7 linked regions of the Ovis aries genome follow. The protein of the gene in region 4 purifies or fractionates together with the protein of the main gene of each other region. This does not show direct contact. Links are inferred from orthologs where the notes say so. Each region holds a gene or a part of one and is shown on either strand. Other genes may lie near its edges.

Region 1 (4,246 bases), on a different chromosome or scaffold from region 4:
GGAAGTGAGGCCTCCTCCAGCGGACCGCCACTTGCTCTGCAAAGGAGTGAGAGCAGCTTGGCGCCCTCTCTTAGAGCTCAGACCCACTGCCCGGGCACAGCGCACCCAGCTGAGAAGAGGAGGAAGCGGGAACCTGCCGGTCCCGGAGATTCACCGCCTGTCACGGCACTTCCTACACTCCGAGAAGGACAAGCAGAGAGAAGGAGCGCGGTTCTGTAGCTGAAGCCACATGGGTCCTCGCTCACCCCTTGAAAGCTTCTCTAGTGGACGGCCTCTCCTCTCCAGCAGCATCCCTGCAGGATGACCGTGTCCGGGTTCCCAGTAAGCTGGCATATTCCCCTCACTTCCCCCCGCTACTTTTTTACTTTATCTCTTAACATATTTGACTTAAAAAAATTATTTAGTTTTAATTGAAGGATAATTGCTTTGCAGGATTGGTTGGTTTCTGTTGAATCAGCCGTAGGTGGACCCGCGTCCCCCCATCCTGAGCCTCCCTCACACACCCTACTGTTCTGAAGCCCAGATGAAGCTGGAAAGGGCTGTCTGGGGTTGAAATGGAAACTATGGTCACAGGACAGGGCTTCCCCAGCACATAGCCACCAGCAAATGGAACCCCCCCCCCCCCCGCCCAAGATGGAGCCAGGGCAGCCCCCTGACCCCCCAGCTCTAACAGACTGTCCCTTCAACACAGACCCTGCCCCCCTACTCTGAGTTCTTAGTTTCTCAGAACTCCGGGAAAATTGAAAAAGCAGTCGAATGAACAGGTGTCTTCGCCTCCATTCGCCAACTGCTGCTGCCCCTCAGCTCAGTCTTTCTTCCTTTTCCAGTTTTTGCTGAGCCATCTGAACGCGGGTTACAGACATCCTGACATTTTGCCTCCAGCTGTCTTAGCACGTATGATCTCATAAGGAAAGCTTCCTCGTGTCGAACGTCATCACTCGTAAGAAAAGAGACGTTCGTGCAAGAACGTGATCTAACGTGCAACTGAAGGGGGCCAGAGTCACCCTGGCCTTCCCAGGCGGCGCTGGTGGTGAAGAACCCACCTGTCAATGCTGTGGGTGAAGAGTAAGAAGAATGAGAGTCAGAGGTTCGATCCCTGGGTCGGGAAGGTCCCCGGGAGGAGGGTGTGGCAGCTCACCACAGCATTCTTGCCTGGAGACTCCCCAGGACAGAGGAGCCTGGAGGGCCACAGTCCATGGGTTGCAAAGAGTCAGACATGAGCGTGCATGTACCTAGAGTCAGTTCAGCTTTTATGGGGCCCCCGCAGGGATGGAAGTTGCTTTCTTCCTGTTACTCTGTCTTATGTCAGTTTAACTGTTAGACTGGCCAGAGTCTAGAAGAGCAAGGAAAGAGTTTCCTCCCCAACAGAGTCCCCAGCTGCATCCACAGCGTCTCACTTTGTTCTGACGTCGAGGAGGAGGAAGACTCCCAGCCTGTCCGAGGGAGGCCTGGCGTGGAGTGGAGTGGACGTGGGGCAGCAGGGACGTCCCGGGGCCGGTGCCCACGCAGGGGTCACCTCGGGTCAGTTCCCCAGCCTGGACAGAAGGCCTGCTCCCTCTCGTTCCCGAGTCCCCCGGCTTCGAGGGGACCACTCTCTGCAGCTGCACCCAGCACCTGTGTCTTCTGTGCCCCGTGCCCTGGAAATCAGGCCCTTTGGAAGTAGACCCTCCCAGGCCTCTCCTCCCTGGGGACGTCCATCAGAATCACCGTAGCCCTAACCCTCCCAGTACTGGCTACCCCTCCAGCCAGCACCCACAGCCCCATGCCCAACCCCCAGTGCCTTCCAGGGTCTGAAGCACAGAGTAGGTCTCCGCAAATGTTTATGGACTAGATGGGTGAATGCGTACTGACACCTTCCTGCACCCAGAGGCTGGAGATGGTGGTCCAGGAAAACCTTGGCCCAGAGGGCTCGCTCCAGCCGGAAGGATGCTGACGGCCAGCCCGGGGCCCAAAGAGCAACCTAGGGGGCCAGGGGCAATTCTGTAGCCAGAGGGCAGGCTCCGAGCTCCCTGGGTGCAGGCTCCAGGCTCACAGTCCTGCCAGCCATGGGGGTGGGGGCGTCAGGCTCAGGGGACTGAGGCCCTCTGGGGAATACTGGCGCTGAGGGGCGGGCTGCCTTTCTGTGACCCTGCCCCCCAGCAGTTCCCTGTGCTGTGCAGGCAGAGGAGGGCCACACAGACGTGCCTCAGTGCCCGGGTCCCCGGCCCGCTCCTGTCCTGTGTCCCGTTCACCCTCTGATGGACTCGGGACATTGCCTCAGCAGCCAGCTCGGCCAGCGGTCACCCTCCGGGAAGGAGAGGCCTTACTGTGCTCCGGGGTGGGAAGGAGAGGATGCAGGCAGACCACCAGCCGCTCAGAGGTGCTTAGAGGTGAAGCTTCTCAGGCTGGGGTTGCAGGAGCCCCCAGGGCTCTGAGAGCTGGGCCCCAAAGGCCCAGCAAAGGGACCCCACCAGGGGCGCGTCTGCATGCCTGCCGACGTCTCACAGTGAGCATCAGCGGCGTTAGCCATCCACGCGGGCCTGCGTTTTCCAGAAAGAAGGCAGGCCTGGGAGCCCGCCAGCCGCCCTCACTTAGACACCGCCCGGCTCTCAGACCCACAGCCGTCACCAGGATGACCCCAGGAAACCTCACACCGCTCAACAGATGAGGGGGTCAGCTCAGGACAGCCACCCGCGAGGGCTGAAAGTAAGGCGGGCTCTCGTCTGTCTGAACTGCACCTTTTTATCCAGAGTGAAGGCGCTCACGAAGCCGGGAAGCCCGACGGCTGCGTGGTCCGCCCGCCGGAGTCCCGCTGCTCCTGGGGTCGTTTCCGTTTCCGGGGGGCGGGCGGCTCGCCGCAGGCTCCAGGCCCCTTCCTCCGGGCATCAGGAGCCGGAAGTCTCGCTCACCTGACCTGACCGGCGAGCAAGCCCGCGGCCGCGCCCAGGTCTCTGGTTGCCGGGCGCCCGCTGGCCGCGGCCCACATTCCTTCCATTCTATCTGCACCCACGTGGCTCTTGGCGCCCTTACAGCAGCCGGACGCCCCTCGTCTTTCCAGCCCCTCATCACTTGGCAAGCAGTCCCGGTATTAGCAGGATTTGCGGGTCAGAACGATAGAGGCAGACGAACCAGATCCAACTGGCCGGGGTTTCAATCCTCCCAGAGCTGCAGCCGCCTCTGGAAGGGGCTGTTGGCCAGCGTCCCCGTGGGGCACGGGCGCGCTCCAGCCACCCCGGGAGAGCCGAGGCCCTCCGCCAGCTGGTGGGCCCCCTGTCCTGCCGGGGGGCGGTTCCTGGTCCTTAGGGACCCCGGGCTCGGGGTGGAAGCCTCAGTCCCGCTGGGTCAGCAGCTGACTGTTTCCAGGGAGATCTGGTAGAAACTGCCCTGCCCTGCCTCCACTTTCCCCACTTTGTTCCCTAGAATTAAGCCTCAGGGTCTAGGTTCTTGGCCATTTAGAACTGCATGCTGATTACAACAAAGTGAAATAAGTGTAACTTCTTACGTCTGTTAAGATCAGAGAAGATTTTGGAGTGATGGGAATTAATTCTTTTTCCCCCCCAAAGTTGTTTTAATTATACTACTCCCTGGAAAAGACCCTGATGCTGGGAGAGATTGAGGGCAGGAGGAGAAGGGGACGACAGAGGGTGAGGTGGTTGGATGGCATCACCGACTCGATGGACATGGGTTTGGGTGGACTCCGGGAGTTGGTGATGGACAGGGAGGCCTGGCGTGCTGCGGTTCATGGGGTCGCAAAGACTCGGACACGACTGAGCGACTGAACTGAACTGAACTGAGAATGGAGACAGCATCCCAGTCCGGCTCTGGCCAGTGGGGCGAGGTGAAGGGTAAGGTGGCAGACTTCCAGCACTTTCTTTAAGATGCCCCAACCTCCTGGAGCAGGGCCCAGATCCCCCTGCCCCGGCCCCCGGCCTGCCCCGTCCTGGACCCCCCCTCTCCTCTGCCTCGGGCCGCGTCCTGGGCAGGCACCAGGTCTCTCCTTTCTGCCCACTCCTCCTGATGAACATAGCAGGAAGTACTCCGGAATCCCAAGAAAGTTAGGATGGGAACCTCCCTGGTGGTGCAGCGGTTAAGAGTCCATGCCTTCAATGCTGGAATGAGGGTTTGATCCGGTCAAGAAGCTGAAGGCCCACATGCTGTGCAGCTGAAAGGAAAGTTAGGACCAAGCTTAGAAACGGCAGAGGGACCCCGACCCTGCCGGTCAGCTGGCACCAGTGACAAGTGCTGGGACTTAACACAAATGTATGCA
Region 2 (3,226 bases), on a different chromosome or scaffold from region 4:
TCTTCTGCCCCGTTGTCCCGTCCTTCTGTGAGCAGACACTTAGTCAGCTCGAGGCCCCTACCTCCCAGCCTCACACCTGAGCATAGGTGGGGTGTCTCAACCCCCAACCCAATTGCTCCCCAGATCCAGTTGGGGGTGAGGGGGCGGCCTCCCTCCACCCCCTAGGTCCACTGTCTAGGATCCAGCCCCATCTCGCTGGACCCAGGAGCTCAGACTTGGAACTCCTTCCCCTTTTAGACGAGGGAATCTGGGTCTTCAGCCGCTCTTCCCTCAGACTCTGACCTGACTGCTCCGCCTCAGTGTCGTCATTATCTTCCTGGGCCCCTGGTGAGGCTGGTTTGGTCTCTTCTGGGGTTGGGGGTCTCTGGGGTGAGCTAGGTCCTGCTGCCTGAGGGGGCTTGGCTTTGGTCTGGGGGCGCTGAGGAGGGAGGGTGGGTCAGGGAGGAGGGAAGGGGCAATGAGGGTGTGAGTGTGTGCCCGCAGGAGACAGAAGTAGAGAGTTTGGGGTACCGTGTCCCCCCGACTCCACCCTCCCCCATGCCGGGCAAGGGGCATGGACCTTTCGGGGAGCCTTGGGGGCTTCATTCCCACTGCTGCCGCTGTGAGAGCCCCCCTCGTCCTCGCTGCTCGAGCCTGACCCAGCCATGAGGTACCTGGAGGAGGGATCGGGCCTCAGACCAACAGCAGATGCGTCCTCCAGGGGAGGTGGGGAGGGGGCTTAAGAAGCAGCAGGCGCTTGCATTTACTATCAATAAATAAATCCTCAGGGTGCAGACGTGGTCTCCCTCCTGGTCTACCCCTTCTCCCAGCTCCAGAAGGGCCCCGTGGACCTTCAGCCACCCACACCATTGACCACAGCAACCCCTGGCTTCCCCTCCGAGGGAAGAAATGTCTCATTTCAGAAACAAACAAAAAAAATCAGAAATAATTCTCTCCGGCAAGCATCAAAGTCAGTTTCTCATTAGGAGAATGCCTACTGATCAAGGGAAAAATCTTGAAAGCAAATTTCCTGTGTGCCAGGCACTGCTGTGAACACTTTACAGGTTCAGAATCGCTGAATCCTGAGGCGGGTGCTATTTTCAGCCCCATTTTACAGAAGAGGAAACGGAGGCCCAGAGAGATGAATCAAGTGGCCCCAAATCACAGGGCAGAGTGCGTACGCAGCAGAAGCGAGTGAACCTGCTGGGCATGCTGCCCTGGCCCCCACGTTAAGACCCTTCTGCACGTGATACGGTTGCTTCCAACCTGGTGACGCCCTTTTCGGGAAAGTCACCCTCACTGTAGAACCAGGGCTCGTGGGAAAACTCAGAAGGCTTAAAGTGCTGGGGGCCTTCCCCGGTGGTCCAGGGGCTCAGACTGCTAAAGGAGCCCCACTTCCCAACAGACACCAGGCTGAGCCAGCCTCGGCTCCTCTGCCTCAGCTCAGCCTGGCGAACCTCTTCTCCTTGAGGAACCCTGGCTCACTGCAGTTCTCCCTGTGGGCCCTCCTCCAAAGTATTTCACAATAAGTCTGGCCCCTCATCAAAGTCAGAGGCTCTCGAAAGGAGGGACCGATGTCTGGGGTCCAGCGGTGGGCAGCCCAGCCTGACACCACACAGGGGTTTCAGACGAATGAATGTCAACAGGTCGCAACACTTCATTCTCCGCCCTGAGCCTTTGTGAACGCTGTTTCTCCAGCCTGCAGCCTTTTCCTTTGCTAAGCAGACTTCCCAGAGCCCTCCTGGGACCCCTGAGGATACCCTCCCTCTCCTCCCCATCTCCCAGCCCTGCCCCTCCTCCTCTGGGAAGTCGGCTGACTCCCGAGCTGGCAGGCCACAGCCTGATTTCTCCCCAGATCCCTGGCGCTGCTCGGCACAGGGATGAGGGGCAGGGTCGGGGTGGGGTGTGCGTGTGTAAAGCACACGTGTGCAGAGAGGCCTTACCTCCGCGAGGGCAGCCGCCGCCGCATGCGGTGACAGTCCAGCACCCACTCTTTGCGCACGATTCGGCCTCCGAGGCCAAGGACCTGGCTGTACTTGGGGGTGTTGGCAAAGGCGCAGCTGGTGGGGAGCAGAACGGAGGGCAGACTGAGCGGCAAAGGCCAAGAGACAAGGGGCATGGGAGAGAGACAGAGGGGAGGAGGGAAGAAAAGAAAGAGAACGAGAGGCAGAGGATGCGGAGAGGCGAGGTGACAGAGAGCGAGCAAGACGGAGCAGATGGAAGAAGTCGGAGAAGGCGCAGCGGGGAGTGAGGGGAGGGGACGCCGGCCTACATGAGGTGCGTGCTGTCTGGAGTCCAGTCCGGTCGATACTTGGCCCCCAGCTCAAGGGCCTTGTCCCGGAGCTCCGAGCGGAAGGGGTTCTGGAAGCCACTCAGCACCACCACCACACCCTGGAGGATCTTCCCCAGCTCCTGCGGGCCTGCGCGGGGGGCCTTGGGCTCAGCGCCTTCTCCTCGGAGCTTCTCTGGTGCCGCCCCTCGTGCTGGGGCAGGGGTGGGGGAAGTGGCTGGGGTACGGGGGGGAGCTGGCACTGGGGAAGCCAGACAGTGGATTCAGTTAGAAAATGTAGGGCTACACGCCCACCTCTCCTGTCTCAGACCCAGGAGTTCAGGCTCCCCAGCCCCTCCTCTCTCAGACCCAGGAGTTCAGACCCCCAGGCCCTCTTCCCTCAGACCCAGGATCCCTTGCCCCTCCACACCTGGACCCTCTGTGGGAACAAGGAATCCAGTTTGCTCACATTTGGGTCTTTTGAGGGCAGGTACTGAGGGCTGAGCTGATGGTTTGCTGGGGGTCTTCTTTTCTTCTTGGTTCAAATCCAGCTTCCTCTTGCCTTTGGGGGACTCCTGAGGCTGAGGGGGTGGGTTGTGCTGAGGCCTCCAGCTCCTCTCCTCCTTTTCTGCCCCCCCAGGGTCTGGTGATCTCACCTTGAAGGTGCTGCCTGCTGCCTTGGAGGCTGGGGAGGCTGAGGAGGCGGCACTGGAGGCCTGCAGTGTAGCCGCTGCATAGCTGGGTCCTGCCGGGTCACCGGCTGCCACTGCAGAGGGGGATAGTGGATCCAGGATGAGGGGGCTGGACCCTCAGGCCTTCGGGCTCCTTTCTATCCATGGGTCACAAAGTGTTGTTCCCAAGACCCAGCAGTGACCCAGGGGTCCAGGCCCCAGCCCCCACTCCCTCAGGCCCAGGATCCAGGCCCCCAGCCTTTACTTGCTCAGGACCCAGGCTTTCTGGAATCCTCACCTGGGGGTG
Region 3 (4,254 bases), on a different chromosome or scaffold from region 4:
CAGTGGTCCGGTGGTTAAGAATCCATCCTGCAATGCAGGGGACCTAGGTTTGATACCTGGCCCTGGGATCTAAGATCCCACATGCCACAGAGGAATGAAGCTTATTGGTGAAAACTAAGACCTGACACAGTCAAATAAATAAAATACATATGTTTTTTAAAAAGTGAGAGGGGGAAAAAAGCTCAAATTAAAAAAAAAATTAAAGCACGCTCTCTCGTGACAAAAGTTAAGCAGTAAGAGAGAGGTGAAAATTTTATTTAAGGATCAGGCTTTCCTGGTGGCTCGGATGGTAAAGAATCTGCCTGCAATGCAGAAGACCTGGGTTCAATCCCTGGGTAAGGAAGATTCCCCTGGAGGAGGGCATGGCAACCCACTCCAGTATTCTAGCCTGGAGAATCCCATGGACAGAGGAGCTTGGTAAGCTCCACTGTCCATGGGGTCACAAAAGAGTCGAACATGACTGAGCAACTAAAACTTTCACTATAAGGATTGAGTTTTTGATAGCTATTCTAAGAAATCGTATTTTACTTAAAAGACTAGACTAGCACTGGACACCTGATGTGCGTAGAATAGCAAGAAAATTTTTGCGTTTTCATCCTAAATCTGTACCACGAATTTACAACTAGGAGAAAACTGGTGGCAAGTTATTAGCTAATGATTACAGGTCAAAAGGAACTGTGCCAGAGCTTTTTATACAACATTTAATCCTCACAACTCACCACCCCACTTTACAGATGAGCTTAGTGAGATTCAAAAAGTTTCCCAAGAATAGATGACTAGTCAAGAGCTAGAATTTCAAAGCCAAGTCAACACCTTACAGTTCTAAAGTTTGTTATTTTATTCTATACATTTAATCTGGACTGTTTGAAGATGCAAGAAAATAAAAATAAAACCCAGTCAACTTTTACCATTGTCTGAGGTTCTTGAACCTACATGTACTTGCTTTCAGATTCAAACAACTGGTATTTGCTATATGCAAGACAATAAGATTTAAAAAGCTTTCCTTGCCCTCAAAGAGTTTGCCAGAAGAACACAATGAACAGTAATGTTTCAAACAATCTGACTGTGTTATAGAAGAGCAAAGCACAGAGCTGAAGCCGTAAGCAGTTTATTTAAATGTTATTCTTGAATGTCTGGGGCTTTGTTTACTGTTTAAAAGTAAAGATCTCTAATGTTGGGAGACAGAGAACAAACGCAGGGAAAAAGATATTTTCATATAGGGCCTGTCCATTATTTCAATCCTGCCAAAGAGTCCAACTACTCACTCAGTGTTGGAAGGTTTTGAATTTTTATTTGCTTATAAAATTTAGGTATCATAAGACACTCATTATACCGTTTTAACAGGAAGAGAGGGCAAAATAGGCGGTTTTCAGGAGAAATCAGAGCGACTAGATGATGGCTAGTTTTGCGCAAAAAAGGAGCGCTAGTCTACAGACAAGAGAACAAAGACTACTATTCCTCGTCTGTTTCACTACTGAGAAGAGCGGGGGAGGAGGCCACGCAAACTTCTGTCAATTTTTTTCCCCATCTGATTGGGAATGCCACGCAAACCATCCTTAACCTCCTTCTATCACCCCTTCACCGTCTCTAGGTTTATTTTTTTCCCCTTTCTTGAATGCACAACACACATTATAAAATAAAGGGATCCAAAACGTCTGGCTAGGCAGAAATGACCATCTTATCTGCCGAGGTCGGAAATATAATTCGGAAAACCTCAAGCTCGGATTCCCACAGGTTGCTCCTGCCTCCAAGCAACTCAAGCTCCAGTTACCGCTAAGTCCGACCGGCCCCTGCGGCCGCGGCGCTGGACAGGGCACCCCAGTCTCATCCCATCTCACCTCGCCCCCCGCCCCACTCACGGTCCCTCCCGGCTCAGGCTGTCTTCACCTCCTACACTCAGTTGAGGCGCCGACAGCCACCCGCGATCAAACAAGCTTCCCCTTTGGGGGAAGGGGGAGATGAAGGTTCCTTTCTGGAAGAATCTGAGCACTCGGAGCGCAGGGCAGCTGCAAGAGGGGAGGAGGAAGGGTCGGCCAAGGGGGCGGGGAACGCGGCATTTATCCATCAAGATCTTTGCGCTAAGAGATGGCTAAGTTCCCTCCGGGCCTCCACTGCCGTCTGGAAATTCTCCCTCGCACTCTGGGCCGGGATGGGAACGTGGAATCTTAAGCTTCCGAAGATGAAGATGAGAGGAGTCCACGATTGCCGAGGTCCTCAGGGAACGGGAAGCAAGAGGAACAAAGCCGCTACCACCCATGCCCCTGGCTGGCCCGGAGACCCAGAGGGACCCCAGAGGCCCGCTTACCTGCCGTCAGCAACTGCATGGCGTGAGTGAAGGACGGGTCAAGAGAGTCCTTCTCGGCCATGAGTTCGGGCAGATACTTGTTCTCCGGCTCCATCTTGACGGAGGCAGTGGCTGAGGGGGGCAGCAGCGGGGTCGGCGCTGGACCGCCCACTGTCGCGTCGGGACCGGTGGCCGAGGGCGGCAGCAGCGGTGGCGGCTGCGTGGCGGGCGAGGCCCGGGCGCCCCCGCGAGACCCTCCTCCGCCTCCCCGGGACCGGTGAGGCAGCGGTGGCTGCCGAGGGGGCGCCTGACGCACGGAGGGGTGGGCACCTGAGGGGTCCATGGAGCCGCTGCGGCCCGAGGACCGGCTCATGCGAGCGGCGGGGTCGTCCCGGCGCTGCATTGGGAAAGATGTGCGATTAAGGGATCGAGGAAGCGACGCGGTAGCGGCAGAGGCCTGAGCGCCGGCGGCCCGAGCGGCGGTTGGCGGGGGTGGGAGAGCGGGAGCGACAGCGACCGAAGCCGACCCGAGCGACCCAGCAAAAGAGAGCACCGGAAATGAGGCGGCGCGCGTGCGCAGCCAGCCACCGGCACCGCCCTTGGGTCTCTCCGCGGAGAACAAAGTCCCCGGTCGGGCCACGGCGCCTGCGCACCGCCGTGGAGTCTGAAGAAGTCGCCTCCTCTCTCCCCTTTTCCCTCCGAGCCCTCCAGGCCGGGTACTTGAGCGCGTGCGCGGGAGGCCGCGGGCTCCGTTCGTTTCTTTTCCACGTGACTCGGCGCTAGCGGGACACGTGTCTCCTCCCTCTTCTGGCCGAGCGCACAGAGGGGGCGGGGGCTGTGGAATGTCTTTGTCTGCGCGCGAGCCCGCGGAGTGTGGGGCGGGAGACCTGTTACTCGCGGGGCCACGCCTCCAACGGCTGAGCTGTGGAGGGGGGGTGCCTGTACTCAGTCGGTGGGTCGGGCGCGGGGTGGGGAGGGGAGTGGTTACTGAAGAATGAAAGGAGACCCTCCCGGGGGATGCGGGAGGGGAAGGAGAGGGAATTGGGGCTGACTGGGCAGAAGAAGGCGAGGGTGAGAGGCGCAAGGGAGATTAGAGTGAAGAAGGAACGACTAAGGGAGAGTCTGACGTAGGGTTGAGGGGTGGAGATGCGGCCAGACTTGGAGGGGGCCATTGAGGAAGGACTGGTCAGTGGAAAGACTGAAGGCTATTGGAGGAGTTAAACTAAGAGGGAGGGTTCAGATCAGGGACCTAATATCCAGCCAGGAAAAGGGCCCCAGACCGAAACAGGGAGTCCAAGAAGTCGTATCCTGTCGTTTCCAGTATAGTGGGTTCTTAGACTTAGCCGTTGTTGATCAGAGAAGTCGTCTGAAAGGTGAAGCATTTTAACTCTCTGCGTATAGTACTGCTTTCTGCAGATTGTGTTTCTTTCACAAAAAAAGTGGGGTAGAGGCCAGCTCTAATCTGTGATGGTTGCATCATTCGGGTGGCTTCTTCTGATGTGAGTGCTAATCCTCCTGCTGTAAATCATCTTTCTACACTTGCTCAAAGAGATAGACCCTTACCACAGCTCTCAAGGCCAAGGCATTATAGTGGACAGTCTCCCACAGCCTACTCCTTATCCTGGGGTGCTATATGCAGATGAAGGCTAGGTCCTTACTTTCCATAAACTCTAACACTTGGTACCTTCTCTAACCCTTCCCCCCACAGATTTTTTTTTTTTTTCTTCTCTCATTCAAAGCATTTGCTCTCATCCCTTTTCCTTCTGGATCTGTTCCCCTAATAAACCCACGCTTTCCAAAAGCATTTCTGGAAATTGTCTTCTGGGAGCCTAAAAACTGCTGATTTGTAGATTTGAAACTTAGAAGCCTTCAGCTTAGGGAACATTAGGGCTTGGCTGCCTTCTTGGGGGTAGGGAGATAAATCACCAGCAGGAATGAGAACAAAACACAAATCTCCATAAATTATCACA
Region 4 (3,091 bases):
AAAAGCCACCTCCAAGCAGTGCCGGGGGATGCCAGGAAGTTGAGACTACCCTCCCCCATAGGCTGCACTTCTCAGGGCCCTTCTGTTGATCTTTTTCTTCCCCCCAGCCCCCCTTTGGAACCCGGCTCCACTGAGATCCCTCTTTGGGGCAGGGGAGGGGTGGGGGCGGGGAGCTCAGGAGAATGGGGAGAGAGGACGAGCGTCCCCTTTTGCACGGACTGAGTGGAGGAAGATGGGTGGGAGCTGTGGCTAGGGTGAGGACCAGCCTGTGGTTTCCTGCCCCGCGGGCTGAGCTGGGCCGGGAAGAGGGTGGATTCGGCTGCTCACACAGGCCTGGTCTGACCTCAGCTCTGGAGGCAGCCGCACAGTCGGAGCAGGCTTTATTTTAAAAAAAGAGAGAGAGAGCACATTACGTGGAAGCAAGAAGATTTTGAGGACAGAACTTCTTGTCGGGACAGTGTGAGAAGGGGGCGAGCGAGTGTCGGTGCCCGTGGAGCGAGCAGGGCGAGCGGAGAAGCCAGCTTAGGGAGAAGCGCTGGAGCGGCTGGAGTTGGGGGAAGTGTGCGGAGGAGCGGGAGAACAATGACACACCAACTCCAGCACGGCTGATTTCCCGAAATATTACTGGGACAGTCTCACTGAGCCACCTTCTCTGCCTTGCCCCCACCCCCACCTCAGCTTCTCGCGCCCTCCTCCTCATTTCAGCAGCCCGCACCAAAGAGTAAATTCAAGATTAAGTTTGAAGAAGAAAATATCGTAGTCTTAGGGCTGTTTACCCACTTCCTCCGAAAAGGCGTGTGGTGTGACCTGTTGCTGCGAGAGGGGATACAAAGGTTTCTCAGTGGCTGGCAGGCAGGCTGTGGGAGCCGCCTCCCCCTCCCTCCCCCCCGCGCCTTCCCCCCGCCTCCCCCGCGCGGCCGGCGGCGCGGCAGGCCCCGCCCCCTTTCATGCAAAACCCGCCGGCAAGGCTGGGCTCGAGTGGAGGAGCCGCCGCGCGCTGATTGGTCGCTGGAAACCCATTTATTCCCTGACAGCCCCCGTCACATGGATGGTTGTCTATTAACTTGTTCAAAAAAGTATCAGGAGTTGTCAAGGCAGAGAAGAGAGTGTTTGCAAAAGGGGGAAAGTAGTTTGCTGCCTCTTTAAGACTAGGACTGAGAGAAAGAAGAAGAGAGAGAAAGAAAGGGAGAGAAGTTTGAGCCCCAGGCTTAAGCCTTTCCAAAAAATAATAATAACAATCATCGGCGGCGGCTGGATCGGCCAGAAGAGGAGGGAAGCGCTTTTTGATCCTGATTCCAGTTTGCCTCTCTCTTTCTTTTCTTCCCCCAAATTATTCTTCGCCTGATTTTCCTCGCGGAGCCCTGCGCTCCCGGCACCCCCGCCCGCCTCCCCTCCTCCTCTCCCCCCCGCCCGCGGGCCCCCCAAAGTCCCGGCCGGGCCGAGGGTCGGCGGCCGCCGGCGGGCCGGGCCCGCGCACAGCGCCCGCATGTACAACATGATGGAGACGGAGCTGAAGCCGCCGGGCCCGCAGCAAACTTCGGGGGGCGGCGGCGGCGGCGGCGGCAACTCCACCGCGGCGGCGGCGGGCGGCAACCAGAAGAACAGCCCGGACCGAGTCAAGCGGCCCATGAACGCCTTCATGGTGTGGTCCCGCGGGCAGCGGCGCAAGATGGCCCAAGAGAATCCTAAGATGCACAACTCGGAGATCAGCAAGCGCTTGGGCGCCGAGTGGAAACTTTTGTCCGAGACAGAGAAGCGGCCGTTCATCGACGAGGCCAAGCGGCTGCGAGCGCTGCACATGAAGGAGCACCCGGATTATAAATACCGGCCCCGGCGGAAAACCAAGACGCTCATGAAGAAGGATAAGTACACACTGCCGGGAGGGCTGCTCGCCCCGGGCGGCAACAGCATGGCGAGCGGGGTCGGGGTGGGCGCCGGCCTCGGCGCGGGCGTGAACCAGCGCATGGACAGCTACGCGCACATGAACGGCTGGAGCAACGGCAGCTACAGCATGATGCAGGACCAGCTGGGCTACCCGCAGCACCCGGGCCTCAACGCGCACGGCGCCGCTCAGATGCAGCCCATGCACCGCTACGACGTGAGCGCCCTGCAGTACAACTCTATGACCAGCTCGCAGACCTACATGAACGGCTCGCCCACCTACAGCATGTCCTATTCTCAGCAGGGCACCCCTGGCATGGCGCTTGGCTCCATGGGCTCGGTGGTGAAGTCCGAGGCCAGCTCCAGCCCCCCTGTGGTTACCTCTTCTTCCCACTCCAGGGCGCCCTGCCAAGCCGGGGACCTCCGGGACATGATCAGCATGTACCTCCCCGGCGCCGAGGTGCCGGAGCCCGCCGCCCCCAGCAGACTTCACATGTCCCAGCACTACCAGAGCGGCCCGGTGCCCGGCACGGCCATTAACGGCACACTGCCCCTCTCGCACATGTGAGGGCCGGACGGTGAACTGGAAGGGGCGGGGGAGACATTTTCAAAGAAAAAGAGGGAAATGGAGGACAGCAAGAAACAGCATGGAGAAAAACCCGGTACGCTCAAAAAAAAAGAAAAAAATCATCCACAGCAAATGACAGCTGCAAAAGAAAACGCCAGTCCCATCTACACTCACGCAAAAACCGCGATGCCGGCAAGAAAACTTTTATGAGAGATCCTGGACTTCTTTTGGGGGGACTATTTTTGTACAGAGAAAACCTGGGGTGGGCAGGTGGGGAGGGCGAGGGAATGGACCTTGTATAGATCTGGAGGAAAGAAAACTACGCAAAACTTTTTAAAAGTTCTAGTGATACGGTAGGAGCTTTGCAGAAAGTTTGCAAAAGTCTTTACCAATAATATTTAGAGCTAGTCTCCAAGCGACGAAAAAAAATGTTTTAATATTTGCAAGCAACTTTTGTACAGTATTTATCGAGATAAACATGGCAATCAAAATGTCCATTGTTTATAAGCTGAGAATTTGCCAATATTTTTCAAGGAGAGGCTTCTTGCTGAATTTTGATTCTGCAGCTGAAATTTAGGACAGTTGCAAACGTGCAAAGAAGAAAATTAATCAGATTGGGCATTTTAATTGTTTAAAAATTGT
Region 5 (4,119 bases), on a different chromosome or scaffold from region 4:
TTGAGGAGGGGTAGGTTGTGGAAGGGACATTACTGACCTTTTCCACATACATTTTTGTACTATTCCAAATACTGAAATAGAATAATTTATAATTTTTCTTCACAATTATAAAGAAATTAGTAAAAAAAAAAAAAAAAGTTGTAACACAGGAACTTCAAAATAACAGAAGTGCAACTTTTTACAATACCTAAATTTAAAAAAAAGTTTAAGAGAACTTTGAGAACAGACACTTAAAAGTTATGATGATTGAGAAGACCTAATTGAGTAGAAAAACTATCAGGACCTTCAAGAATAAAGTGCTATTTAACAGGGAAGGTATTTCACAAAGAATTTTTAAATTATCCTTCTATGTGCTACATATTATTCAAAAATGTTTAACATTTTATGAACTACTGTACACCTCACAACCTAATTCTATCCTCATTTTATAGACCAGGAAACAAAAGCAGTAAAGAAGTAAAGTTAAGCTGGTCTATAGTGTTACCTATTGAATGGGTTTTAGAAATTGGCCCCACCAATATAAAACTGTACACTACTGTGCACCCACCTTAACACCAAGAACCAAAAACAAACCAGAATGTTCAATAGGTCAATATATCAAAATTAAATGCTCTATCTTTAAGGTCCTAAATCTCCTCTCAAAGAGTGTGTTTTCACATTGTAATACCACAAGAATCATACCTCAATTTGATGACAGATCTTGGCCTCCAGAGCAGCCATTTTTTCATTATCACCATTTTCAGCCATTCTGGCTAGCTGCAAAAATTTCCAAATTGGCATAAAAGTTATTTACCTTTTACAGAGAACTCAAGACTTTTAAAAGAATGTTTTAATTATCAATATCCCACTATTTTCCTAAATAAAAAACAATTTTACAGGTTCAATTTCTCTACTCAATTTTCTAATTTCAACAAAAGAAAAATTTTGAAATAAGTGATGAAAAACTATCAACGATCCTCACTTCTTTCAGTCAATCATTGTTCTATCCTCTATAACAAAGTGAGTGGGTCATCTTCATTTAGCTGATCCAGAAAGCTCTGAGGGAAAAAACTCCATGCATTTAAGCATGTCAGTTGTCAATATCATGGATCTGTCTTGTTTGGTGTGACTGAATTTCTTAAAAATCAGCCACAGTTGATTTACTAAAAACAAGATTATGTTATCAAAACTTTTGGGTGAAACAAAATTTTAAAAATGTTACACAGCGTTGAACAAATTAATGCTAATATTAAGGAATATATGAAAATGCTCATTTGAGAAGCTGAGAACACTAAAACAACATTAAACTGGAGTATGCCTACTATTTGGGCTTCTCAGGCGGCACCAGTGGTAAAGAACCCGCCTACCAGTGCAGAAGACAGCCCGGGAGAGCATGGCAACCCACTCCAGTATTCTTGCCTAGAGAATCCCATGGACAGAGCCGCTTTCTGGGCTGCTGACCATAGGGTCACAGGGTCGGACATGACTGAAGCTGGCTGAGCACGCACATACACATGCCTACTAACATGGTTAACCTTACAGCCACATTCCTGTTTCACATCACTCACAATAACACTGCAAGAAAATCGTGTAAGTCTGTGAAGTTGGTTTGCTAGGACTAACAGTCTCCTGACTTCAAATTATTTGCTTCTAGTACTCCATTAAGCCATCAAAACACACTGTATAAAAGTATATTTAGAATAATTCATCAAGGCTATCTGCCATTAGTTAACTCTAGTGATACACATGTTGGAGGCAACCCTTTATAACTTGTAATTACCATGCAATAACATGGATGCACACTGGAAGTTCTCCTATGGTGCAACACCTTACTAACAAAATTTGGTCAATCTTACGCAATGGGTTTTCCACCACGATTCCTAAGTTATTACCGTGATATGTTGTTGTTTAGTCGCTTAGTCGTGTCCGACTCTTTTGCGATCCCATGGACTGCAGCCTACCAGGCTCCTCTGTCCACGGAAATTCCCAGGCAAGAATACTGGAGTGGGTTTCTATTTCCTTGTCCAGGGGATCTTCCAGACTCAGGGATCGAACCAGCGTCTCCTGCACTGGCAGGCGAGTTTTTTACCACTGAGACACGAGGGAAGCCCTACTGTACTCCAGAGCCTTCTATAAAGAAAAGGGTGACATGAAAGAACTATTTAGTCCCTGCAACACTTCTTTGGCCTACTCAAAACTGGAACTTCATCTCATGAGATACACTCTTAGAATGTACAACTGAAACATTACCCAAGTTTTTCAGTTTCGCTCAGAAGCCCTGATGTGAGTGAATAATGACCGTTAAAATCCAAGAGAGTGACGCCATGAGAACATCTGTGGCCCCGATTCCCTGACCCCAGTCTGCCTCGTATGATCCAAGAAACCCTTCTGCGTTTAACCCACATCAACCTCCCCGGAATCTTATACAGCCCAACCAAACATTCGCTTTCGGCGACACTGCAAAACGGTGAAGATACGAAACCTTAAAGACGCAGTGGGGATGCAGGCAGCCTGCGTCCAAATAATCCGCCACAGCCCGTCCCAAAGCAACCAATTGGTCGCCTGGGCCCCAGCCACGTGCGAGGAAATCCTCGCTACCGCGAAGAACGCAGAATCGACTCCCCATCTCGCAGCGGCCCGCGCCCCTTAGCCCCCAGCGCAGCTTGCCACCACGGGCTGCGGCCCACGCGGCGCTCGCCCGGAACGCGAGGAAGGCGAAGAGCGGACGCACCCAGCGTGAGGCAGCAATGAAAGGGACGCGCCGTCGCGCAACACGCAAAACAGACCCTTTTGTACTTTCTTCTCTTTAGCCACCTAGAGTTGCTCACCTTTCAGTTCCTGGCCCCACTGAGACGCGCCACAGGGTCACCAAGTAGCGTCTGCACTCCTCTGAGCCACCGGCTTTCCCACCTCACGTAAAGAAGATGGGGGCCGTCCCGGCAACCCTTGCGGTCAAAGTGGGCGGGGCTTCCGGCGCACCCGAGCCGGCTCCGCCCTGTGAGCATGCGCCTCTGCTGCAACCTCCCAAGGTCTGAGAAGTCCTGCGCATTGTTTCGGTGAGATTGAGTTACGATATTCAGCAGCACTTTGGAAGTGTTAGGGTAAATATTTATTTTTAAGTATTTCTGGACAGCATTTGTATTTCCAGACCTTCCGTGGGCTCTCCATTCACATGAAGTGGTTGACTGTACTTTTAAAAAAAATTGTTTTGATTATCCGTAATAGTTAACCCATTTTTTAAAAATGACAAGTAAAACATTTCATTTTTTAAATGAAAAATTCATGGAATCTTAAAGTTGAGGGGAAAAAATATAGTAGAGACTTTAGGAGCTGGAACTCTTGAAATCAGACTGCCAGCGGTCAGCAGCTCTCCAGTTTACAGGCTGTGTGACTTTGGGAAAGTTACTCAACCTCTCTATCCTTCATATATAAAATGGGGCCAGTGATAACTATATTACACTTTATATAGCTGTCGTGAGTATAAAACATGGTACAACGTATACCTTTTGTCGGGAACTGTGCCTGGCGTATAATAATAGGAGCAGCATCAGTTCAGTTCAGTCGCTCAGTCGTGTCCGACTCTTTGCAACCCCATGAATTGCAGCACATCAGGCCTCCCTGTCCATCACCAACTCCCGGAGTTCTCCCAAACTCACGGCCATCGAGTCGGTGATGCCATCCAACCATCTCATCCTCTGTCGTCCCCTTCTCCTCCTGCCCTCAATCCCTCCCAGCATCAAAGTCTTTTCAAATGAGTCAGCTCTTCGCATCAGGTGGCCAAAGGATTGCAGTTTCAGCTTCAACATCAGTCCTTCCAATGAACACCCAGGACTGATCTCCTTTAGGATGGACTGGTTGGATCTCCTTGCAGTCCAAGGGACTCGCAAGAGTCTTCTCCAACACCACAGTTCAAAAGCATCAATTCTTTGGCACTCAGCTTTCTTTATAGTCCAACTCTCACATCCATACATGACCACTGGAAAAACCATAGCCTTGGCTAGATGGACCTTTGTGGACAAAGTAATGTCTCTGCTTTTGAATATGCTGTCTAGGTTGGTCATAACTTTCCTTACAAGGAGTAAGCGTCTTTTAATTTCATGGCTGCAATCACCATCTGCAGTGATTTTGGAGCCCCCCAAA
Region 6 (4,085 bases), on a different chromosome or scaffold from region 4:
AAACCCACTGAACTGCACACCTTTTATTTGGCCATGTGGCTTGTGGGATCTTAGTTTCCAGTCCACAGATTGAAGCCAGGACCCCAACACTGGAAGTATGGAGTCCTAACCACTGAACAGCCAGGGAATTCCTTGTACTTTCCTTTAAAAAGTAGATTTAAAGGTATATTAATTGTATTTCAATAAAGCCATTATAAAAGGTTCTTTGTACTAATGATACATGCTTATTCTTTAAAACAGATGCTCTGCAACAGAGCCAGTAGCTTCAGTGAAATAACCGTAACAAGGTCTTATTCCCCTTCTCTCGTAGCTCAGCTGGTAAAGAATCCACATGATGCAGGAAACCCTGGTTCGATTGCTAGGTTAGGAAGATTCCCTGAATGGACAGGCTACCCACTTCAGTATTCTCGGGCTTCCCTGGTGGCTCAGCTGGTAAAGAATCTGCCTGCAATGCCGGAGACCTGGGTTCGGTCCCTGGGTTGGGAAGATCCCCTGTTGAAGCAAACTACCCATTCCTAGAGAATTCCGTGGACTGTACAGTCTATGGGGTCACAAAAGAGTAGGACATGACTGAGCAACTTTCACATAGTTCACTACTACAATCCAGAAATCTGGATAGAACTGAAAGAAAGACTACACTGTACAACTGTTTTACAAACCTTTATTGGAAAGGCTACAAATTTTGCATTGCCACTGCATTGCTTTCCCTTAGTGTTGTGGGGGAAGTAACCTTGGATACAAAACTGCTATGCTCTTGCAGCTTGCCCCGGCTGGCTGTGAAAGTCTTTGTGCAATGGAGGTAGAGTGGATAGGGCAATAATTTAAACCTCACAGGCCTTGATCAATGTCAGGACTTTTTTTTTTCATTCAGGTTCTATAAGACCTAGAAATAGACTGCAAGTACTACAAATAGGCTCAGGGATGGCATAATACATTAAAAATGTTTAATTTTCAGTTTTCTCCCATTCGTCTTTTACAAACGTTTCTACAACTGATCTATTTTTTCCCTAAAATAAGTGTGTTCTAAAAATATCTACTCTGGGAATGAAAAGATAATAGAAGATGAAAAAACAGTATATCCTTTCCATAGTAGTTTTACCTGATTTTTCTCATACCAGCCTAAGAGTCTTACCTTTCTGTAAAACAACAGTAATCAATGCTTCCCCCAGTCTCAAATATTCAACTTAATGGAGACAAGAGAATCTTTAACTTAACATTTAATGAAAACAGAGCATTTTAACAGGTTCTATGCAGACATGGTTCTAATACTGATTTGCTGTTACCTTATTTTTTTAAACAGAGTGGGGTGGGGAAATACAGAGGCCAGGTTAACTTGGCCCCTATACTCAGGACCATGAGTTATATAACTTAGATGTCCTTGACTCTACAAAGCATTAATTGAAGCCAATAAAGCCAGTTTCTACCAATGTATCAAACTTTCTCTAGTCTTTTGAAACTATAAAATGGGCACGAGCCTGAGGCATAAGCTTCAGGCCAATGGGTTTTTAAACACTGTTTAAGAACCAGAACTAGGATACATTCTCCAGTTTAAGGATAGATTTTACAGTTCAAATTATGTCCTTGTTTAAGGAAAGATTTTACAGTTCATAATATGTTCTTTCTAAAAATGTGAGACAAAGAGTAATTTACACCAACTGCTTTTTATTATTCAGTTCCAGAAACCTTTCACAAGATGGTAAAAAAAAAAAACCAAAAAAACAAACCAAAAAAAAAAACAAACAAAAAAAACAAAACAAAAAAAACCAGGTGGGGCGGGGGAGAAAGAAAGAAAAAGAAACATCCCCCAACCCCGCCCAAAACTTTACAACCACAGCTCAGCTAATGATATTTTCTCCATTGTTCCCAGTCAGCTCCAAACCCATTGTGTGCAAAGCCCATTTTCCCATGCATCTAAATGATAGATACAGGCTATGAAATTCTTTATTCTATTTGTAGCAGCTTATGCAGGTGCAGCCAAACACAAAGCTTCAGGACAAACTGTACACAAACTTTACAATGTGGGAATTGAATTTAAAATATGAAACATAAAATCTACACAAAACTGATAAAAATCAAGCACAGATATCAGGACTGAAACTTATAACCCATGTGTGAAAGGGAGTCTTGTTTCCTTTCAAGTGCTTTATTCTGCTATAGAACAGTCGAAATGAAGATGTAAAGCTTTGTGGTTAGTTTAAATTATACACTCTGTAGATACTATACCAATTTTAAAAGTTACACATAGACCAACAGATGTCCATCAGTTCATCTGGGTTGACCAGACGCTCCAGCTGGATTGCAGAAAACAAACCAGGCCAATGTGGAAAGAAACTCCCCCTGTGCAATCTGTTTGCAGAGTTTACTGATGGGCACATTGCACTCCTGGTCCGTGATGGCTACTGCTTTCCTCATCAGAGCTATCATTATAGGCTTCACGCCTCTGGCCGCCTCCTGAGCCCCGAGTGCTATCGAATTCTTGAAGCTCTACCTCCTCGGTGTCTCCAATAATATTCGGAACTTCTGGTCTAGATGGCAGAAGATCTTCTAACTCCTTCATTAAAATGAAAAAAAATAAGATGAGCTTGAAGATTATTATCTACTATCAATTTCCCTTTTGATAAAATCCAAGGTGTATGTCTGACATTTAAAATCTTTGCACTTTAAGCCAGAGATCACAAATTGATGACCCACAGACCAAATCTAGACATCTTTTGTGCAACCCATGTACTGATTAGAAAACAATAAACAAATTTAACCGCTAACATGTAAACACTGGAAAACTTCACATTAGACATGTCTTCCTGCATGAACAACCAGAAGATGCTAGGCTGGGGTAAGAGATCTGCTCTCCAGGGTCACAATCCTCCTACCCCCACCTCACGCAGTCTGCTTATGCCTTCACTAGTCCTGACTTGGCCCCATAAACTTTTACAGCAGCTATTTCCACTTTAAAAAACAATGAGGCCAGACCTTCAATCACTCAAATTAATAAACGATGTGATCTAATCTTAGCACCCAAAACAAATGGAAAGTGACAAAGAAACAACTATTATTAAACTTTAAGTCATCTGTTGCCTAATACTTACAGAAAGTTTATCTGGGTTGATCCAGTTGTTTTCAGGAAACTGCACATCAAACTTTATGTAAAGATCACCTTTTTCAAAGGGATTACGATATTGTGGCATTCCTTCACCTCGAACTACACGAACACATCCTATTATTTCAGTAAATAAATAGGGGAAGATATTAAGAATTTTACCCAAGCAAGTGCTCAATAATAAATGCTTTTTGAGAGTCACCCAGTGTAGAAGATTACATAGAATCTTAGATCAGACAAAAATCAAGATTTACCTGGTTCAATTACTTTGCCAGGGGGATATTTCACCACAATCTGACGTCCATCAAGGTGCTTAAATGTGAACTGAAATCCACAAAGAGCTTCAACAAGTCCTATCTTATATGTCATGTGCAAATCATTCCCATCTCTCTGGAACACCTACAAATGAAGCACACAAGAAATATCGAAACTATGGAGGCATGCTCTGTTGTGCTGTTTAACTTGAAACAATATCAAAACCTTAATTCTACCATTTACTGCAAAAGTCAAATTGCCACCATCCCTAAGTTCCCTAAATTTATCAATATATATAAGGAAATCTAGCTATTCTCAAGTAATATGCTAGAAACTTCGATCACAAAAGAATTGGAATTGGGAATACAATGGCTCATAAGGCACAGCTGAAGCTTAAAAAACAGAACCAAGTATATCTTACAATTATGGCCCATTTCTGAACCATGAGGGAAAAGGTGTACAAGACCCAGTGGGATTCTGTAGAACAGGTTCACCTGGAATTTCCTCCAGACATGATTCTAAGAGGGGAAGGGGAAGGCCTAAGCTCAACTGAAAAAGCTCAACCAGTAAAAGGGCTCAAACCCAACACTTCATTTAAGTATGAACAAGTTTTACCTAACCTAAGATACAAAACTTGCTTAGGTGAATGTAAACCAAATGCTAAAGAAAGTTGGCTTATTAATGCACTATAAGCCTATGGACTATGTAATGCAAAGGTTATTCAACAAGCATT
Region 7 (4,389 bases), on a different chromosome or scaffold from region 4:
AACAAGGGCAGCCTGTCTGGGGCTCTGCTCCTGCTGATACAGTATTGCTGCTTAAATCTCCCTCCTCAAGGTCACAGCCAATTTCAGCTCTGGAATAAAAGGCAGATAGTGGCAGCGATGGTTTGGGTTATCACTGGCAGAAAAGCAGAGTGTAAAAGTTTATGAGCTCATCAGGATTGTTGTACCATTACATCAGAGGCAATTATAAATGGCCAAGAGCAGGAGATGGGGAGCCAATCAGATCACAGATAGGATGTCAACCTAAGACCAACTGTCTCCTGGCTTTGACAGAAGGATTTTACCTCCATAATTCAAATCCCAAACCAAAGCAATCTGCACTTACTACTCCAATCACTCAGCTGTTTACCAGCACTTCCAGGGAGAAGCCCAGGCCACTGGGCCGACGGAGACTAAGACAGGAGACGACCTGGGCTGCCCAGGGTGAACCGAAGCCGGGCTCTAGCTGCTCCCAAGCAGGCCCCTGCCCTCCCTCGAGGTCCCCCCGAGCCCGAGGGGCCCCCTCCTTGAAAGCACAGATGGGGACCGGCCTAGAGGAAGGTAGGGAGGGCAGAGAGGAGCGGCAGGTGAGCAAAGAACTGTTCACTCAACTCCCGACCTCCGAGGGCTGCCTACACCCCTAACCTGAGCCCCCAACACCCCCTCACCCCGGGCCGGGCCCTTTTCCCGCACACCCGGCTCCGCACCCCTCTGAAGACCCCCCGGAGCTGGAAGGGACCCGGGGAGGAGGAGGAGGGGAGCAGACACCTCAAGGAAAGCCCCACACAAAGGCTGAAGGAGGGAAAGAGAGGAAGGCAGACGGGCAGCCATTTTAAGAGAGAAAGAGCGAGACAATGGCAGCTCCCCAGCAGTGGGGGCCCCAGACTGGGGGTAGCCCACGGCCGTGGCCCGCTCCCCGCCGCCGCCATCCACTCCCAGGACCCCCCCGCCCCACTCGCCACAGCCCCCCCTACCCCACCAGCCGTGTTACCTGCGGGGTCCGGGCGAGCGGCTGCCCCCCGCCGCCGCTGCTCCCAGGGCTCATGGGCGCGTGGTGGCTCCTTTGTTGGGCCCCTCCCGAGGCGGCCGCGGCCGCCGCCGCCGCAGCAGCAGCAGCCCCCCAGCACTGAGAGGCCATGTCCGCCGGGCCCTTGCCGGCGCCCCCGTCCTGGGGCCCGCCGCCGTAGTCGCCCCCGGGGTAGCCCTGGTAGCCCCGGGCCGAGCTGGGCGACGTGAGCAGTTGGTTGAGGGTGGGGGTGGCGGTGGGCTGGGGGGTTCCCCCTGCGGCCGCTGAGGGGCCGCCTCCCCCCATGGCCCCGAAGCGCTGCTGAGCGAAGGACGAAGACGACGAGGAGGCGGAGGCGCTGGAGGAGGGAGGCGGCTTGGAGCCGGCGGCCGCCGCCGCCGCCGCGCCGGAGCCCGGAGTGCCACCTCTCGGGGAGCTCAGCGCGTAGGCCTGGGGGGGCGGGGGGTAGGCGCTGCGGTTGGGGTAGTAGGAGTTGTACTGGTGGTTGGGGAAGCCGTGGTCGTGCGAGTTCTGCTGGGGCCCCGCGTAGGGCTCCAGGCCCCCGCCGCCGCCGCCGCTCTGCAGCGCTGCCAGGCCAGGGCTTTGTTGTCCGCCATGTTGTTGGTGGAAGACGGCGGCCGCGGCGGCGGCGACGGCAGACGGGCTCCGGCCGTAGGGTTGCCCGAAGCCGTAGGCTGGGGGCGGCAAGGCGGCCGCGGCTGAGTGAGGAGGCGCCCCCACCCCGTCGCTGCTGCCGCCGCCACCGCCGCCGGGCGGCTCCGTGAGGTTATTGTTCAGGGCGGGCCTAGGGCCCGCGTTCCCGTTCGAGTTCTTCAGGTCCGGCTCCGCGCCGGGCCCGCCGGCTCCGCCGCCGCCGCCACCCCCATTGCTCTCGGCCCCGTCCTGCAGCTCCTTTCCCAGTGGCTGCGGCGGCCCCACGGCGGGGCCCTCGCTTTCCTGCCCGGCGGCTGCCTTCATTTCCCCGCGCTCCGCCGCGACCGCCGCCGCCGCCTCGCCCCCCGCCTCCTCCCGCTGCTGCTGCTGCTGCTGCTCCGCTTTCTTCAGCTCCGAGGGCGGCGGCGGCGGATTGCCCAGGCTGCTGGCGGCGGCGGGGGCGACCTGCGCGGCCATGATCCCCGCTGTCTCGTCCGCGGAGAGACCCGGCCCTGTCTTCGTCTTCTCTCACCCCCCTCCCACCCCACCCCGCCCCGGGGCCGAGTCCCCCCGGGCTTCCCTCCCCACCCGCCCGGGCGGGCCTCGCGGGGCTCCGCGGCTTTTGCGCTGCGCTCGCTCGCTCGCTCGCTCGCTCGCTCCTCTCCCCCCCGCCCCGCCGGCTCAGGCTCCGGGCTGGCGGCGGCGGCGGAGGAGGAGGAGGCGGCGGCGGCGGCCGAGGCGCCGGCGGCTCAGCTGCTCCCGGCTCTGTAAGCTCGGGACCCGGCTCTCCCGGCTCATTCCCCCCCAAGCCCTTGCCTGGGAATGAGGGGGGCGGTGGAGGCTCCGCTCCCCAGGGCCTGGCCCCGCTGTGACTCTCCGCTTTCTGCTGCCGGAGAAAGGAGGGAGGGAGGGAGGGGAGGGAGGGAGGCGAGGGGGAGGGGGCGGGGAGGGAGGGAGGGAGCGGGGGGAGGGGGACCCGGGACGGGCGGGCTGGAGGGCGCGCGGCAGCAGCCCGGGCGCCGGCAGGCAGAGTCGGAGCGTGGGCCGGGCCGGGCGCCCTGCCTCCCCTCCCCGGCCGCGGCGCCGGGCCGAGGCTGCTGCGCGGCGGCGAGCGGGCGAGCGGGCGGGCGGCCGGACTGAGCGGCTAGAGCGCCCCACTCTCCTCCGAGTCCCCCTCACTCCGACACGAGGCTCAGCACTGCCATTTTACCCAGCGCCGTCGCGGCCGCCTGGCAAACCCGGAACGGAGCGCGGAGCGGGGCGCAGGCCGTGGAACGGACTCGCTCCCTTCCCCTCACAAAGGAGGAGGGGAGAGAACCAGCCGCGGCGGCGGCGGCGGCGGCGGCAAGCGCTCTGCCGCTCTCGCTCGGCAGCGCCGCCGCCGAAGGCTTCGGGGAAAACCCGGCCCGGAGCTCGCGCCTCTCCGGAGCCTGCGCGCCGCCTCCCTCCTGGCCTCCCTATCCAGGTCGGTCCCCTTCGCGCCGCGGGCAGCGTGAACTTTACTCGCGGCTGCAAAATTGGCCTGAGCCCGAGACCGCGGCCGCCTCGGCCCAGGCCTGACCCCCCCTGGCAGCGGGCCTGGTCTCTTGGCCGCTACTTAGCATCTCCGCGGCACTTTTCCTTCTTCAAAGCCTTTTGCAGACCTGCTCCAAAGACCCAGCTGAGCTTTACGTTGTATCCTCTTTGCAAGCTGCATGGAATGACAGATCATTGTTTCAGACTTTCCGTTTTCCCACTCTCTGCCCTCATTAGCCGGTCCTCACAGGCCCTGGGGGCACGAAGTTCCTGATCCCCATTTTACAGACTCATAAGATAGCGAAGGGGACCGGCCTATCACTTAGTCTATCACTTACAAAGACAAGGGCAGTGGAGGGTGACTTTAAAAAGTAGCAGAGTCCCCAGTGCTGCCCCTGTCTACTTAGCGTTAGAAATAATAGTAATAAAAAGAAAAGTGGTGCCATATACAACAGTGGGATCAGAACATCAGAATGGGTTTGAGATTCAAGCTGGTCATCTCAACCGATATAAAATGGTCACCCCTGAAGATATTTTGGGGACATATGACCGCCTTCTTGGAGGAAGACACAAGCCCCACCTTTGCCCACAATGACCAAGGTCCCGTCTCCAAAGACAGTACCTGTAAGACTGTAACAGACCACAGAAGAGACTCCAGGGACTGGTGGAACCTGAGTGTTCAAAGGAACCTCTGCCGAAGAGGGATGACCAAGTAGAGGGAACCGTTTTCTCCTTAAAAAGAGAGAAAAGGTGCAGTCTAACACCTCACTCAGAAAACAGATGCAGCCTAAATTTGTTTTTCTATCCTTCATTGTAAGGAATCATTAAAGTTTACTGTTACATTCTAAGAGATGCTGAATGGGAGATGCTGAGTGAACTGGAGGTATACACAGAAAATTCTAGATTCACAGGCTCCACCACATCTCAGCAGCAGCCTTGTCCTCTGACTGACTTAGAATGCTCTGACATGACAGGCTACACAGGCCAGAAGGGATACCGGCTTCTCACGAAGCCCAGGGCTGCCTTGAGAGATGCTAGGTCAGCTAGTCATTAGACACCAGGGTTTCATCCCCACTTAAATATTGTAAATAGATGCTTCATGGCCACAGAACCATTACCTTAGAATTTCCAGATTCCGCAGGCCCCTGGAGGTTTTTTGGCTGTGCCACTCACTGGCCACTGAATAATTCCCCAAACCTGAACTCATTCTTAACCCC

Evidence for each region.
Region 1: the proteins of SOX2 (region 4) and DNAJB6 purify together in Homo sapiens (affinity purification with mass spectrometry; 3 studies listed by BioGRID and IntAct, with this or other methods). This does not show direct contact. The link is inferred for Ovis aries from reciprocal best matches to the Homo sapiens genes SOX2 and DNAJB6.
Region 2: the proteins of SOX2 (region 4) and XRCC1 purify together in Homo sapiens (affinity purification with mass spectrometry; 3 studies listed by BioGRID and IntAct, with this or other methods). This does not show direct contact. The link is inferred for Ovis aries from reciprocal best matches to the Homo sapiens genes SOX2 and XRCC1.
Region 3: the proteins of SOX2 (region 4) and KHDRBS1 purify together in Homo sapiens (affinity purification with mass spectrometry; 3 studies listed by BioGRID and IntAct, with this or other methods). This does not show direct contact. The link is inferred for Ovis aries from reciprocal best matches to the Homo sapiens genes SOX2 and KHDRBS1.
Region 5: the proteins of SOX2 (region 4) and SSB purify together in Homo sapiens (affinity purification with mass spectrometry; 3 studies listed by BioGRID and IntAct, with this or other methods). This does not show direct contact. The link is inferred for Ovis aries from reciprocal best matches to the Homo sapiens genes SOX2 and SSB.
Region 6: the proteins of SOX2 (region 4) and DNAJA2 purify together in Homo sapiens (affinity purification with mass spectrometry; 3 studies listed by BioGRID and IntAct, with this or other methods). This does not show direct contact. The link is inferred for Ovis aries from reciprocal best matches to the Homo sapiens genes SOX2 and DNAJA2.
Region 7: the proteins of SOX2 (region 4) and ARID1A purify together in Homo sapiens (affinity purification with mass spectrometry; 3 studies listed by BioGRID and IntAct, with this or other methods). This does not show direct contact. The link is inferred for Ovis aries from reciprocal best matches to the Homo sapiens genes SOX2 and ARID1A.

The regions. Positions count from the first base shown.
Region 1 is NC_056057.1:120,185,014-120,189,259, reverse strand, and holds the start of DNAJB6 (dnaJ homolog subfamily B member 6), read right to left. Parts: upstream 2,818-4,246; 5' UTR 2,718-2,817; exon of another isoform or gene 1-2,717. UniProt on the Homo sapiens protein: Has a stimulatory effect on the ATPase activity of HSP70 in a dose-dependent and time-dependent manner and hence acts as a co-chaperone of HSP70. Plays an indispensable role in the organization of KRT8/KRT18 filaments.
Region 2 is NC_056067.1:51,467,656-51,470,881, forward strand, and holds part of XRCC1 (DNA repair protein XRCC1), read right to left. Parts: coding exon 3,218-3,226; intron 3,015-3,217; coding exon 2,718-3,014; intron 2,511-2,717; coding exon 2,252-2,510; intron 2,040-2,251; coding exon 1,923-2,039; intron 654-1,922; coding exon 560-653; intron 419-559; coding exon 283-418; intron 26-282; coding exon 1-25. UniProt on the Homo sapiens protein: Scaffold protein involved in DNA single-strand break repair by mediating the assembly of DNA break repair protein complexes. Negatively regulates ADP-ribosyltransferase activity of PARP1 during base-excision repair in order to prevent excessive PARP1 activity.
Region 3 is NC_056055.1:235,469,414-235,473,667, forward strand, and holds the start of KHDRBS1 (KH domain-containing, RNA-binding, signal transduction-associated protein 1), read right to left. Parts: upstream 2,845-4,254; 5' UTR 2,688-2,844; coding exon 2,306-2,687; intron 1-2,305. UniProt on the Homo sapiens protein: Recruited and tyrosine phosphorylated by several receptor systems, for example the T-cell, leptin and insulin receptors. Once phosphorylated, functions as an adapter protein in signal transduction cascades by binding to SH2 and SH3 domain-containing proteins.
Region 4 is NC_056054.1:206,122,349-206,125,439, reverse strand, and holds SOX2 (transcription factor SOX-2), read left to right. Parts: upstream 1-1,486; coding exon 1,487-2,449; 3' UTR 2,450-2,522; downstream 2,523-3,091. UniProt on the Homo sapiens protein: Transcription factor that forms a trimeric complex with OCT4 on DNA and controls the expression of a number of genes involved in embryonic development such as YES1, FGF4, UTF1 and ZFP206. Binds to the proximal enhancer region of NANOG.
Region 5 is NC_056055.1:139,780,941-139,785,059, forward strand, and holds the start of SSB (lupus La protein), read right to left. Parts: upstream 2,918-4,119; 5' UTR 2,808-2,917; intron 2,110-2,807; exon of another isoform or gene 2,107-2,109; 5' UTR 1,872-2,106; intron 757-1,871; 5' UTR 748-756; coding exon 682-747; intron 1-681. UniProt on the Homo sapiens protein: Binds to the 3' poly(U) terminus of nascent RNA polymerase III transcripts, protecting them from exonuclease digestion and facilitating their folding and maturation.
Region 6 is NC_056067.1:14,920,639-14,924,723, forward strand, and holds the end of DNAJA2 (dnaJ homolog subfamily A member 2), read right to left. Parts: intron 3,497-4,085; coding exon 3,352-3,496; intron 3,215-3,351; coding exon 3,087-3,214; intron 2,552-3,086; coding exon 2,360-2,551; 3' UTR 646-2,359; downstream 1-645. UniProt on the Homo sapiens protein: Co-chaperone of Hsc70. Stimulates ATP hydrolysis and the folding of unfolded proteins mediated by HSPA1A/B (in vitro).
Region 7 is NC_056055.1:240,201,176-240,205,564, forward strand, and holds the start of ARID1A (AT-rich interactive domain-containing protein 1A), read right to left. Parts: upstream 2,898-4,389; 5' UTR 2,135-2,897; coding exon 989-2,134; intron 1-988. UniProt on the Homo sapiens protein: Involved in transcriptional activation and repression of select genes by chromatin remodeling (alteration of DNA-nucleosome topology).